Bombyx mori: one gene and its partner. The protein of the gene in region 2 purifies or fractionates together with the protein of the main gene of each other region. This does not show direct contact. Links are inferred from orthologs where the notes say so. Each region holds a gene or a part of one and is shown on either strand. Other genes may lie near its edges.

What was found. The genes of interacting proteins can lie anywhere in the genome.
Region 1: the proteins of deubiquitinase OTUD6B (region 2) and ubiquitin thioesterase otubain-like fractionate together in Homo sapiens (co-fractionation; 4 studies listed by BioGRID and IntAct, with this or other methods). This does not show direct contact. The link is inferred for Bombyx mori from reciprocal best matches to the Homo sapiens genes OTUD6B and OTUB1.

What each region holds. Positions count from the first base shown.
Region 1 is NC_085118.1:933,389-937,323, forward strand, and holds the start of ubiquitin thioesterase otubain-like, read right to left. Parts: upstream 2,801-3,935; 5' UTR 2,708-2,800; coding exon 2,600-2,707; intron 2,503-2,599; coding exon 2,203-2,502; intron 1,486-2,202; coding exon 1,264-1,485; intron 430-1,263; coding exon 319-429; intron 4-318; coding exon 1-3. UniProt on the Homo sapiens protein: Hydrolase that can specifically remove 'Lys-48'-linked conjugated ubiquitin from proteins and plays an important regulatory role at the level of protein turnover by preventing degradation.
Region 2 is NC_085110.1:12,094,071-12,096,860, forward strand, and holds deubiquitinase OTUD6B, read right to left. Parts: upstream 1,501-2,790; coding exon 646-1,500; 3' UTR 501-645; downstream 1-500.

The DNA.
Region 1 (3,935 bases), on a different chromosome or scaffold from region 2:
CACCTGCAATAAAAAATTTTGACATTTACTAATTACCACATTAGCAAGTAGAAAAAATATGCTCTTCAATTACTTTTTTTAACACGGTTCTATTTACAAAACATAATAGAGATTAGGATATTTTTAGTTTTCTGTGAAACTGGTTATTCTTTTGGTTGAACCAGAATTGAAATGAAATGAATGAACAATTTTGAAGTAGGTACTTTACTACTGCTTTACAGATTTAAATATTTTTGCTTTCAATTTAAAATGACATTACAATTTGTAATTAAACAATTAAATTTTTTTGGTAACTAGCATCTAAGTTTTATTGCTCACCTGGCTACCTTCACCCCGATCCATGTACTTCACTCGGACGCACACCTTGAGTGCATTACTCAATGCTATGATATGGATATGGTCAGACTCTTTGTACATCGGTTCCACTTCCTGCAATAACAAATTAAAAGATCTAACAAAAATATTTTTGAATCACGGTTCTCTTTCCAACTGAATGAACCTAGGCACCTGCATGGTAAATGTATACGATACTACAAAAATAATTTTTTTAGTTGCCCTTTTAGGAAGACGAGCATACGGCCCACCTGATGGTGAGTGGTTACCGTCGCCCATAGACTTCAGCAATGCCGGGGGCAGAGTCAAGCTGCTGCCTACCGTTAAGCACTCTCCACAATTCTCATTTGAAGAGGGAAATGTCATAGTGCTCGGGAAACATTGTGGAGGAGAGCTCAATCCAAAGCCGAATGGTATAGAGCGCTCCCTATGGGAACATACGGTCACCTTTTTTTACATAAACAAATTCACAACATGTGGTTTGAACCATAATTTAAGTAGAATCTGTTGTTTATACGCATGGGACCAATTTCAAGACGAACTATGTCAGTGACCATGAGCAATAACAACAATTTCAAGTCTAGTGCACTATACTATTGATATAAAAATATTTTGGGAAAAAATACAATAACCTTGTTGTCTCTCACAAAACAAATATCCACAATCGTGTTTATTACATTTTATTATTATTCTACCCTCAAACACTAAGCCTGACTACTATGTAGCAGAATCACAACAGTAAGTCAGAAACTTTATTTTAAATTATGTTCCTTTTTGAGGAGTTAACTTGCACATATGTTAGAAATACAAATAATATCAAAATACCACATGGTACAAAAAGTTAAGTGGTTACTGAAAACAACCTAAATGCTGCAGCACAATCCTTTTATTGTAAATAAATAAATTGTAAAACATTTATGTCATTGTTACCTGTCTACAAAACTCAGTAACAGTGCGTGGTCCTTCAATAAAATTCTGATAAAATTCTTGGTCTGTCTGCAGCTGGCCAGATGTAATAAGACGAAGGTACACCACTATGTAATCAGAATATCCCTGCTTGTTGAACTTATCATGAAGCTCCATACGAACTGTTTCTATCAAATCCGGAGTAGAACCAGCATGTTCCCCTACTCTTTGGATTACTTCCATAAACTGCAAATTATAATTTTAATTAGATTTGTTGTTTTAGTTTACATTGACAAAGTTGAATGTCTTTTTTTAAATTATATTTTAAATAAAGAAGTCTGCAAATTAGTCTAAAGAAGTCTGCAAACTATTAGCTACTTGATATTAGGAAAAAGTCCAGATGACATGAAGACAGTGTGAAGACTTCAAGCGTGTAGATCAAGTCTCAACTCTATAGTATCAAGGTATCTAATTATATGGTCCAAGTATTACTTAGAAACACTGTCTTCATCAAACACTTAAAATTGATTTATCCTAATAGCTTTTATATTCGGAAATATTTTTGGGCTTTCCTGGTGTTTAGATAATAAGCTTTGTTATATTATGCATTGTCTACACAAGCCATTAAGATCTTGCCTATTCCAGTTTAAGGCAGTCACCCAGGCTTTATAAACATTTGTGGTTTTTTAAAACTGCTTAAACCAGCCACGCTTTATTGCCCCCAATAATTTTCAATCAAATAATTATGCTAACCTCCCTTTCTATTAAATGTTATAATATTCATGTCTGACTTATCTTCGATGATCTGACTATTCAAATCAATACTCTGGTGAGTTTTATGATGATTAACAGCGAAATTTTTATTTTCTGAGAAAAAACCATAATCTCCGGTCAAGGCCTCGCGCGCAACCCGTAAACTTGAAACGTCCTTGTCAACAAAACAAAAAGAATGTTGCAACTTACAGTTTCGTAAAAATCTTCAACGGTGAACTGCGAAAACCCTAAGGCGACGAGAATATCTTTAGAATTTTTTGCTATTTCGTAAAACTTATCATATTCCTGCTTATCAGTCAGTAAGCGTTCCAAATATGCGTATGAGAACGCGCGAAAGAAACAATTGCCATCGGGACGCGTTCGTCTAATGCTTTTGTATTTCGAAGACAAATCTTTCACTTTGAGCAAATAAATCGGATCCTCGTTATATTCTTTCTCTAAAGTCTGCAATTCTTCAATTTCACCAACCAACGGTATTGTTTCCGATATCTAAAAACAAACAAACAGTAACGTCAAATTTCAAAGTATGTTTTCAGTGTGAAGTATGGTTTTAGGTAGTTTTCTGGTTATATATTATATATATTACCTCTTTTTCTATTTCACGTTGCTGTTTCATTATCAATTCATCTTGATTAATTGAATTTTCAACCGTATTACCGGTAATACCGCTACTGCTTGATGCATCATCCGCCATTTTCAAATAACAACTGACATATGTTTTGACAGAAAATTGCAACAAAACAAATGACTAAAATGACATTCGTTTACCGTTCAGAAAAGTTGATTGACAATGTCGTCGGCAAATTAATACAAAAAGTATCTACTGTTAAATTCCTTGAAATTAATAATCTACGTAAATGAAATCGTAGCCGTGCTAATCAAACCCATGCACTGATACAAATACAGTTGTAGAAACCTAGGAATATTGAACCATTTGGGTTTAAATACCTACCTACTACATTGCGTCCGTGCTCACCGATTCGTTTTCGTGAAACTAGAAGGACAACTATCTTTCCAAAAAAATGTTACTAAATTAAAACGAAGTCTAATAAATATATAAAATGAAGTATAAATAAAATATATTAAATATAAAATGAAGGAATTGAAAATAAAAACATAACATAAGTTTATATTTAAAATTTATTTACCATTAAGAAATAATGCCATAATGTAACCAGTTTTTTTCACAATATTTTATATTAGATGTGTTATGCTATCGATTTTGTATATTCCCATACCAAAACGATTTACTTGCGATTCATGTAACAGTTGATTCTTGCAACATAAAAGCCATAAGGGCGGCTCCACTTGTTGTACCTACAAAAAAATTGCTGCTGTAATGATGTTGCAATGTTACACCAATACAATCTAGAAATAGTTAATTAATTTTTATATTAAATGAAAACGATCATGTAATCACAATTTTTTATTGATAGATTAAATTAAATGACTAATCATCTAAAAATTAATCAAAAAAGTCGAGCTAAAGTAAGAAAATGTTTGACGTTGTTATATAAAGCTGTTAACGCCTACGAATTTCTAAGGAGCAATGAACAAAATTTTATTTATGTTCACCGACACAATTTTTAAACACTTCAATTAATGGCCGTGCCAAGCTAACTCATTCGCAACGTATTAAATTAACAAAAACCTGTATAAAGGAAATACAAGCACAAAATCGATTGTGGAAGTTTTATTGAGAAACCCAAGCATCCAACAAAGGCCTATTTGTTTTTATCGGTGATTATCTGTCCTACATTTCAACCCAAATGAAGGTAAATATAGGACGTTTTTTTTTACGTTTGAGCAACAATTTATAAAAACAAGCTGTCCAATTGCATTAATCAAACTGGTGGGTTACCTCGGTAGTTTTCCAATTGCAGCACAAGAGCGCATTATGCGGCATAATGCTAATACAGGTA
Region 2 (2,790 bases):
ATAAAATTGACATTTAGTGTCTTTATTAATTAAGCGAATTTCCAAATGATTATAATCTGTCACTAATCTGTATCTTGTTTCACAAAACTTGTCAATCCTCCCAACAAATCATTAATTTTCATTTGATTTTTAGGATATTGATTTTTCTAATAAGATTTTAAAAGCAATCTTATCGACGCTTGAAAGGCAAACGTGACTAAGCAACAATGCGTGAACTTTACAGTAGACTAATATAAAGTTGAACCTGAAAAAAAAATTATTTTAACGAATCTAGCTAGTAGCTGTAGGATTGAAATGATTTTAATAGACCTAGAAATATATTTTTTTGCACATTAAATATGGTTATTGCCTATCATTTATGTACAAAGCAGTTATTGTCGCTTAGTCACTTTTGCCTTTCAAGCGTCGATATGTTCTAAGGCAATTGGTGGCTCAATGTTATTGTATAGGGGCAGTAAACTCATATTCCATTTACTATGCTAGGAACAGAAAAGGCAATATTATGTAATGTTTTTATTATATACTAAACTGTATTTGTTACCATTTCCAATGTCCTTTTTACCTAACTTTATAAAAAATGAATTATTATTTTCTCTTTTCTTGAATTATGCACATCTGTTTTTTATATTTAAAGTTATTTGTATTTTATGAGGTATTCTCACTAACTGAAATCAGATTGGTTGAATTATAATGTTCACCTAAGCTATACATGTGCCTGTGATATGTGATTATCAATGGTGGGCCTTCAAATTCTGTGCCTTGCTCTATACAATCAGGTCCGACAGCTTGTATCACATTTATCGGACACTTTAAAATATTTGACAAGGCTCTAAGTTCTAATTGACCACCCCAATCTTTGGTATTCATTATTTTATGACAATAATCTTCAAATTCCTCATCTGTTAATGTTTCTAGTGTTTCTGGGTTACACATGAAAGGTTTGAAATCATCTTTGTTATCCCTTATGTAATTTGAAACTTTTTCTCTCAATTCATCCACGCTTACAGTCTCTTGTTTCACAAGTTGCAACTGATGACTTACAGCTTTGTATAAACAATCTCCATCTGATGGAACAGTAAAAATTTTCAAATTTTTTTCTTCAAGCCTTTTGGTAATAGTTTGTATTTCAATGTTCCTAGCTCCATGAACATTTTCCTTGTCTTGAAGTTTTATTTCTTCTTCGCGGATTTTCTCTTGTTCTGATTTTTTATCTCGGCGCCGTTGCGCTTTAGATACTTTTGTTTTGATAACTCTTGTTTCATCTACCATTGGTTCTAAGTTGTGTTCAGAAGAAAGTTTTGCTTCCATAATCTCCTTATTGTGTCTAATTTCTAATTCACTTTCAAGCCTTGATATTTCAGCAGCAAGATCTTTCTTTTTTGTTTTGTCATTTTTAGCTACTTTTTTCAATGCTTGAATTTGGGCTTGCAACTCTTTTTTCTCCTTACGTTGTCTAATTTCCATACTATTTACATCTTCTGCTTCTTTCTCCGTTTCCATTTTATTGTTTTCTACTTGACGTGAATATTAATTTTATTTTGTATTGAAACGTTATGGGTATTGGCTATAATTTAATTTATTTCATACACACATGTCCGTAGAAACTACCTACTCAGTCAATAATAAAAAAGAATACATAAACACCGTGCTAATTGTTCATTTTAATATTACTACAATATTAAGTATATTATTTATAATAAATTATTTTATTATTACTACAATATTAAGTATATTATTTATAATAAATTTTAATAGAAACAAGTGTTTAAATTCTCGAAGAACTGAAATGACTGAAATACATGCTGACTTTGCTGACAAGTGACAATAAATATCAGAATTCTTTTTTTTAAAGGGATTTTACGACCTGGTAACTACGACCTTTAAGTCATGTCTTATTTTAATTTATATTCTTATTTTTATGGAAAATGATAATATGGAGTGAAATGAAATGAAGATGATTATTTGAGCCATTAACAAGGAGGGTATCTCTACCCTCCATAGCCATTAATCAACTGGAATGAAATGAAATGAAATAATAAGAGATGATATGGGATGAAATATAATCTCAGTAAAATGGTGGTCATTTACTGAATTTTTTTCAGTGGGCTTTTCGGATGATCCCGAGAAGTTACGTCCAGTGACTTTGTTTCATTTTCCTACATTTGTGCACTTTCACAGATATGAAATAGTTAATAAACCACCGTTATTACACATTTAAACCTAAAGAAACACTAAACAGGCAAAATAAAACAAATCACACAACTGCACTTCTCACGTTTCCGCTAAAAGTAAATCAGAATTATCAGATAAGTTCACAGTGTTAGAGACGGGGTAACTTTTTTTTTTTTTTTTTTTTTCGGCTAGAGGGCCGAACCTCCTACGAGGTCCCCGCGCAAAAGGGGCGCGCGGGGTATGTGAGACTCAACGATCTGCATGGTGTTGTGAGCAGACCGCGGGTCCAAGGATTTTAGGACCCACCCACTAAACGACTCCCCTGCACTCTTACACCCGACGTCCGATCCCCTCCGAGGTGCGGAGAATTAGAGACGGGGTACTTAACCAACGTTGCATAAATCACAGCAAATTCGTAGGCATGATGATCCACTTTTATTGGGATAGTATGGCCTGGAAACGAGATATTTAAGGGCACTGAATACATTTTTTATTTAAAAAGTACGCAACTACGCATAGCTGTATACCTGTGTGATGCATAGATGTACATTGTAGAGTTGGTTATAATCGTAAATTATTATAAAAATACAAATCTGCAAATACACATCTGAAGAATGG